2 linked regions of the Coturnix japonica genome follow. The protein of the gene in region 1 purifies or fractionates together with the protein of each later gene. This does not show direct contact. Links are inferred from orthologs where the notes say so. Each region holds a gene or a part of one and is shown in the gene's direction. Other genes may lie near its edges. The genes, in order: DCAF6 and TNNC2.

Evidence for each region.
Region 2: the proteins of DCAF6 (region 1) and TNNC2 purify together in Homo sapiens (affinity purification with mass spectrometry; 3 studies listed by BioGRID and IntAct, with this or other methods). This does not show direct contact. The link is inferred for Coturnix japonica from reciprocal best matches to the Homo sapiens genes DCAF6 and TNNC2.

Annotation. Positions count from the first base shown.
Region 1 is NC_029516.1:82,031,193-82,035,002, reverse strand, and holds part of DCAF6 (DDB1- and CUL4-associated factor 6), read left to right. Parts: intron 1-1,062; coding exon 1,063-1,277; intron 1,278-2,868; coding exon 2,869-2,962; intron 2,963-3,810. UniProt on the Homo sapiens protein: Ligand-dependent coactivator of nuclear receptors. Enhance transcriptional activity of the nuclear receptors NR3C1 and AR. May function as a substrate receptor for CUL4-DDB1 E3 ubiquitin-protein ligase complex.
Region 2 is NC_029535.1:9,485,541-9,489,569, reverse strand, and holds TNNC2 (troponin C, skeletal muscle), read left to right. Parts: upstream 1-1,468; 5' UTR 1,469-1,561; coding exon 1,562-1,573; intron 1,574-2,313; coding exon 2,314-2,365; intron 2,366-2,450; coding exon 2,451-2,594; intron 2,595-2,667; coding exon 2,668-2,782; intron 2,783-2,857; coding exon 2,858-2,994; intron 2,995-3,085; coding exon 3,086-3,117; 3' UTR 3,118-3,317; downstream 3,318-4,029. Other genes in the region: regulator of G-protein signaling 9-binding protein-like, read left to right, coding at 4,010-4,029. UniProt on the Homo sapiens protein: Troponin is the central regulatory protein of striated muscle contraction. Tn consists of three components: Tn-I which is the inhibitor of actomyosin ATPase, Tn-T which contains the binding site for tropomyosin and Tn-C.

The DNA of each region.
Region 1 (3,810 bases):
GAAGGTACAAAGTAAAAGATTCTGGTTTTTCCCTGAAGTTTTCTTGAAAAACAAAACAATACCCAACCAAAACAATACAAAAACAACACAGCTTTTTCTTTTGTACACGTCCTATTACAGTACAACAGGAAAATGAATTCAGGTATGCAAGTCTATAGGGAAAAGCAGGGAGAAGACGAACTTTTGAAGACTATAGTATTTCTGGACTTATTGATATAGTGTTTTGCTACTGTATTTTTTGTTATTTGTTTCAAAGAATGAAGTATTCTGTGATAGCTGCTAGTGAGTAAAATGGTGGTTTTCATTCTCAACTTTCAGCTCTAGTCCTTATGCAGTGAGATGGCAAACTCTGAACTTGTCAAGGACATGCTTTTCTATGTGCTTACCCAAAGCAGATGTGCCTTGCAGGAAAGCTATGTGGCAGATTATAGGTTTTTGGAAGAGTCTGTTTTTCTCTGTTAAGTCGTATTATAGGTAATTTTTGTATGCTTACAAGTTTGTAATACTGGAATTGAAGGCTGTTTTAGCATGTAGAATGGAGGTTGGTTGTCATGTAAACCCAATGTATTGAGCAGTTCTTCAGTCTCAAAGTGACAGTATCATGTGTCAAATAAGGAAAAACTGGTGTTTTTATAGTTTATTTAGAATGTAAAGAGAAGATGTCCTTAAATTTTCAAAGTTCTATAGAATGACTTCCTTGCAAATTTGTGTGGTGATGCGTAACTGCATTATTATTGCGTACAAGTTCTTCTGTTCCTAAATGTTCATCTGTACTAAACTTTACAGATGGTATCCATATCCCATCATGTGATTGGTATTTGATATATAAGTATGGTTGTCTGTATGTTTTCACCTTTCTCTGTAATGTTCTGATAAGTATTTTTTTATTTTTGTTTGCACCCTGTAAGATCTGATTTGTCACTATTCAGAACCAATGCAGTACAAAAGCTGTAGGTTGCTTAGCTAATCTCTGATCATCTTTGGATGTTAACAAAGGAGTATATTGAAACTGCTTGTAGAAAATTTGCAATAGTGAATGTATTCTTTCTCGTTCTCACACAGGGAATTATGCTGGTAGGGGCACTATTGGAATGGTGGCACGTTTTGTTCCTCCTCATCTCAATAACAAATCTTGCCGTGTAACGTCTCTATGTTATAGTGAAGATGGTCAAGAGATCCTTGTTAGCTACTCATCAGATTACATATACTTGTTTGATCCCAAGGATGATACAGCACGAGAACTTAAAGTTCCTTCCTCTGAGGAAAGACGAGAAGAGGCAAGTGATTAAGATGACCTGTTTTCTTGTTTTCTCTTCCCCACCCCCAGGGCAATCCTACCAGTTTGTATTTCCCTTGAATTGAATCTTGAGCCATCTTGTGATTCTCAAACACTGTTCTTAAAATAGTTTTAGACTATCTACGGTATGTTGGGTTTTTAGGTTTTTTTAGTCTTGTATATTTTATAATTCATCATTTTCACCATGATTACCTGTGGATTCCAGTAATGTAGGGAATTTGAGACATTTTGAGGGAAACTTTGCAGTTCCTAGGTCATAGAGAAGTTTAAACTCTGGCAGTTACTGGAAGAAGAGTTATGTTATAGGGTCTGTGACCCAGAGCTCTTTAACTTAATACCCATGGACAAGGATCTTGGTCTTGGTTATTGTTGTACCCTTAACATTCAATCATATTAAACAGCATAACTTTATAGAATTACATAAAATTCAAAATATATTCTGAGATTTGAAAAACGTAGCTAAAATGCCTTTTGAAATATCAGTGAAATCATGAAATGCAATTGTTTGAACAGATTTTTATGAAACCAGATAAAGTGTTTTTATGATAGGATGTAGAGTTGAGGACTAAAGCAGAGAGAAACTAATAGTTGAAAGTGGAATGTACCATTTGCCACATGTCTGCCCTCATGCCATGCCCATGCTATTGGATGTTTTATCTAAGCCCATTCCCTCTGGGTGATGGATTCTTTTTTTGCAAATATTGTTTTGGATAGTGATTTGTAGGATTGAGGAAGAATGTCCAGCTGAGTTAAATTGTTACCTGATGGAGACAGAGGAAAGCAAAGAAGAACTCAGAAAAACAGTGCCATAAATAAGTGGTTTCTCATCTTACTTTTTCCTGTGTAATTGCAACCTAATGTAAAGTAAATCAGTGGAGAATTTATTGCCTGCTTTTATGCAGAGGGAAGATTGTGACTACTTATTAATAGCAGATCCTAAGTGTTCTTCTGTATGCATGGAATACATTCTACAAATTCATTTTGTCAGATAATTTCACTTAAATGGTATTTTTATTTCAGTCTTGCTTTAAATTCCACAGAGTAGAAAGGATGTGAAGTTTTCTTCCCAAATCTGCTGGCTCCTGAATGTTAACACTTCAATTTACTTTCAGGAGTTTTGCGTTTAAATCTCAAATTGACAGCACAACTGGTTGCTATTGTTGTTACATGTTGTTGCGTGGTTTTGTTTTTGTAAACCATGAACAGCCAACCAACACGCTGTATTTCCAAGTATGAAATGCCTTTTTGAATGTACAGAACTCTGGCTGTTTTTTTTCAGGTTAGCAGAAGTAGCACTAACTGGATACTATTCTTCTTGTACTACTTGTCACACGAAAAAATATTTCAATTAAAAAAAATTCTGTTGAGCTAAAATTATTGCTGCCTTTTGATACAGTGTTGTGCTTATTCATAGTTGATCTGAACATATGGCGGGTGCAGTTTTTTTGTGCGTGACAAGTTTTTGTACCCTAAGAAAATGGGAATGTAGCATTTCTTTTTAAACTTGAAACTTTGTATTGCTCAGTATAAATGACTTTATGATAGCTTTCTTCTTTCTTTTTTTTTCCTAGTTACGGCAACCTCCTGTTAAACGTTTGCGGCTAAGAGGAGATTGGTCAGATACTGGCCCAAGAGCAAGGCCTGAGAGTGAACGGGAGAGAGATGGTAACCTGTTTGCTCTTGTGGGGTAGGGATTGTCTAGAGGGGGAAGGAATGTTTGTTTCTTTTGTTTTTATCAGTTTTTGTTAGTACAGCAATGCTCCAAATAACTGTGTGTGTGTTTTAAGTGACTGTCAGGTCTTAAGTGTGTTTATTTTTAACCTAACAGGGAACTGCTGTTCTGTACTGATTTTAAGAACTGTCTCAATTGCAAACACACACATAAAAAGTTTCTTCAGTCAGGCTGATGTAAATCGAGGGCAGCATTCTGCTCACATTGTGCTTCCATAATCCCACAGACTTCTTTGTATATCTCTTCATATGAAGTGTTTCCCTTCAAAATTAGTTACTCCTTTGCTTTTTACTCAAAGTTACTTTCTATCTGAGCTTGGGTTTTTTTTTCATCAGTTAATGTTCTGCAGCATTCTTCTCGTTGTCATTTCCCTGTCGTATCAAGTAAATCTTCCAGGGAGAAAGTAAAACTTGAAAAAAGGACTTCTCCAGTATAGATACCGGTTAGATTTTTCTTTTGTCGTGACAAACCTTCTGTACCTTTACTGTGTGTTGTTTGATAGAATAGTGCCTGATGTGCTCAAGGGAATAGTTGATTTGAATTAGATTCAAGCACTCCATTTCAGCCATTGACAAATGGAATCTTTGGATAGAGCTTTGAGAGGAAGGAATTATGTTAATTTTTTTGTAATGCCACGCTCAGCTGTGCAGTTTGTGCTGTGCTGAGAAGTGGCATTGGTTGAGGGAATTACCAGTTATGTAGTTTGCCATGCTTTATTATATTTTTTTAAGAGAAGAAGTAACGGGGGGAGGAAATGAATGCTTTTGTAAAATGTTAAGCA
Region 2 (4,029 bases), on another chromosome or scaffold:
GAGGAGCGGGGGCAGCGCGAGACCCCGCATCGGGACGGCCCCGCTCCCGGCCGGCTCCCTCCGGCCCCCCCGACCCGCGCCCACCCTCAACCCCGCTCCCCCCGCTCAGCCCCGCTGCCGCTGTGGGCGCTGCTCTCCGTACCGTACCGCGCTGTGCCGGGCCGCTCCGGGCGGTGCCGAGCGATGGCCGCTCCGCCGCTGCTCGTCCCGGGATCCTCCCTGCGCGGCTCCGCCTCCGCTGGGAACCCGGATCGCGGCGGGGCTGTCACGTCCCGGCACGGCGCAGCGCGGCTCGGCGCGGTCCGGCTCCGTCTGTGCACGCACAGCCCGTGACCGATCCCCGGGCACCGCTCCATGATGGTCCCCAACCTCCGGTGCCCCGGCACCCTGACACCTCGGTACCCCAACAGCGCAGCGCCCCAACACCGCCACATCCCGGCACCCGGCACCCTCAGCCGGCACCCTGCCATCCCCAGCCTCGCCACACGCTCCTGCTCCTGGGCTGCAGCCATGGCCGCTGCCTGGCACTCACCGCCCTTATTTAGCACCATCCCCGCTCTGTCCTCGCTGCTTTCTTGGGAATGTCTATTAATATCGAGGAATGGTCCAGCTGCTGCCATCACTCTGTCCTTGCTCCTTGCTGTGCTGTGCTGCCCCATCCATGGGGTGCCAGCAGAGCTGCCCCAGCAGAGGGTCCCGAGGGACCGACAGCCCTTCTGCAGCCACAAAACCCTTTTGGAGAGCTGCAGGCTGTGGGCCACTTGGCCAGCCAGACCCAGGGCCACGGACCTGGCAGAGCCGCAGCCTTTGAGGAGGCCACGGGCATCGTTCCCACTCCCCAAGTCACGGAGCAGCCGTGCCATTTCTGGTAGTGGCTGCCAGCAGAGTGGGAACCCACAGCAGTGCCAGGACCCACTGCAGGGCCACGCTCCTCACCCACCTGCAGCTCACAGTGATGGTCTGAGGGCTGCAGCTTCGCCTTGACCTCTCTAGGACAGAAAGGAGTGAAAGGAGGGACTGATGGTTTGGGCACAGCCAGAGTAACTGGGGTGCTGTGGGGTAAGGGATGGGACGTGGCCCCAGTGCTGCCTGCTTGTCCCAAGCCGCGGCACCTGGGTTAGCAGAGGTTCAGGCAGCACTACCCAGCCCTGTCCCTAATGCCTGGCATGGGGGAAGCCCAGTCCTGGTGTTGGGGATGCTGCTCTTTGGGGCTATTTTTAACCCCCTCCATGCTGAGCTGTCCTGGAACAAGGAGGTGTAGATGAAGGAGCCGCACTCCTGCCAAGATGCTGCGTCCCTCCCTGCAGGGCTTGAATTTCTATCCCGGCTTCAGACCCACGTTTAATCCCCTGCTCTTGGCCAATAACGCTTTGGCTAAATTAGGTAAAATGAGCCCGTTGCCAATGAGCGGGGCCGGATTTCCACCAGGGAGCTGATAGGCTGCTGGGGCTGGGGGCCAACGGCTGGGGGCACGGGGACACTACAAATTGGGGAGCCAGGGAGTGTGCGGGGGCTGCTGGTGCAGGAGGTGCTGACTCCCTGCAGGAAGAGAGCAGCAAAGATGGCGTCAATGGTAAGAGCTCCAGTGGTGCTGGGTTGAGCTGTGGTTGGGCCGGAGGTGTTGGGCACCGCGGTGTGGGGCTGCCAGGCACCTCTATGGGGCGATGGCAGAGGGATGATCCCTTCAGGCTGGCTATGGCAGGAGGTAGCATGGATGTAGGGGCAGTGGGATACGTTCCCCATGGCGTATGTCCCCCTATGGGATGTGTACCCCTATAAGATGTGCCCCAAAGAGGGAGTGTGCGGCTGGCTGGGGGTAATTAATGGGTGCATGGGGCGATCAGAGCTGGAGCTGGGCTGTGTGAAGGCGCTGAAAGCCGAGCGCTGGGTCATGCGACACCTCTGCGGCCCCAGACAGCCCGCGCCTCCAGGAGAAACTCGATCCAGGGCAAACAGGTGCCCGCTGAGCTCTGCTCCCTATAAGGGGAGTCGAGGAGAGTCCAAAAATAGTGTCGGGTGCTTGGGATGCCAAGGCAGCATGGCGGCCTCTGCGTCATGGACCACCGGGGGGCGGCTGCATGGGGCTCAGGGCAGTTGAGCTGCATGGCTGCCCGGGGCCTTGGGTCACTCAGGGAACAGCCACGTGCTGCAGGGCTGAGCTGGACGAAGGCTTTGCAGCTGCACCAGGGAGGCTGAGGCTTTGCACTGTGCCAGACGCTGCTGCAGAGCCCCATACGCTGCTGACCCTGGGCAGGGGCTGTGCTGACACACAGCATGGGGTGGGAGCTGACCCCTTCTCCCTGTGCCTTACAGACAGACCAGCAGGCGGAGGCCCGCGCCTTCCTCAGCGAAGAGATGATTGCTGGTGAGCAGGGAGGGGACAGGGCCCCATCCCAACACAGAGCCCGTCCCAATGCCCGTGTCCCAGCACTGACCACTCTTCCCTGCAGAGTTCAAAGCTGCCTTCGATATGTTTGATGCGGACGGTGGTGGGGACATCAGCACCAAGGAGTTGGGCACAGTGATGAGGATGCTGGGCCAAAACCCCACCAAGGAGGAGCTGGACGCCATCATCGAGGAGGTGGACGAGGATGGTGAGTGGGCTCCATGGGGGTGGTGGGTGTCTGGAGTGCTCAGCCTGACCCACATCACGGTCCCTCCCCACAGGCAGCGGCACCATCGACTTCGAGGAGTTCCTGGTGATGATGGTGCGCCAGATGAAAGAGGACGCCAAGGGCAAGTCAGAGGAGGAGCTGGCCAACTGCTTCCGCATCTTTGACAAGTGAGTGGGGCAGCGCCTGGTGACACCCGTCCGTGGTGGTGAGCGGGGCCGTATCCTGCCCTTCCTCTCCCACAGGAACGCTGATGGATTCATCGACATCGAAGAGCTGGGTGAGATTCTCAGGGCCACCGGGGAGCACGTCACCGAGGAGGAAATAGAAGATCTCATGAAGGATTCAGACAAGAACAATGATGGTCGCATTGACTTCGATGGTGAGCGGCAGGACCTCACCCTGCAGCTTGCTCAGCCCCTTTGGGCTGCGTGTGTGGCACAGCTGGGTCTGATAACGCCGCTCTCTTGCAGAGTTCCTGAAGATGATGGAGGGAGTGCAGTAAGGGATCAGACATTCCTTGGGCCGCCTGCAGCAGCCAGCCCTGCTCCTCCGCCCAGGACTGGCCCCGCCGCAGAGCCTGGCCTCGCTGCCACCCGCTGGAGCCCTGCAGCAGCTCGTGCCACTCGGCTGGCGGCTGAGCTTTTCCTTGACTCTGACAGATGTGGTTTATGGATGAACCTCATTAAAAGGGGGAAAGGCTGAGCTGCCAGTATGGGAGTGCCTGGGGGGTCTGTGGCACTGTACCCCATGGAGGGGGACACGGGGGTGTGTGCAATGCCGTGCCATACCCTGTACCAGCCGGGCTGACCTGTGAGTGTGTGAGCAGTGGTTCCCATGGGCTGCTGGGTGGGCGCCAGGCAGCGCTGAGCTCAGAGTTTCCATCAGGAGCACTCGCTTCCCACGACAGCAGCAGCAGGGAGCACAGCCCTGTTCCTCCCAGGGTCCCAGAAGGCAGCACTGGGAGGCTGCTCCTGCTCACATCACAGGATGTGTGACCACACTGGATTTTGGAAGGGGGAGAGAAGGGGGCCAAGCACTGCTTAGGTTTCTGATTGAAAGGATGGGGTATCCTGACACGAAAAGTTGGGGACTGCTTCCCAACCCTCCAAACCTCAAGACAGCAGCCACACCTCTGCACAGGGATTAAGGCAATGCTGAAAAGCCAGCCTGGTTGGTGCCAGCTCTCCCTGGGGACCCGTGTCTCCGTGCAGCCTCTGGAGCTGGGGAGGAGCACAGCCACAAGCGTGCCAAGATTGGGACGTGCCCTGGGCCGGGGCTCACAGGGAACACCCAGTGCCTGCGGGAGCAACAGGACAGGCACTGAGCAGGACCCCAGCTCAGAACCCATCCCTGCCCCACAGAGCCACTGAGCAGCTGAGTCCCTGTGGCACAGGATGGCACCGGGGAGAGGGGC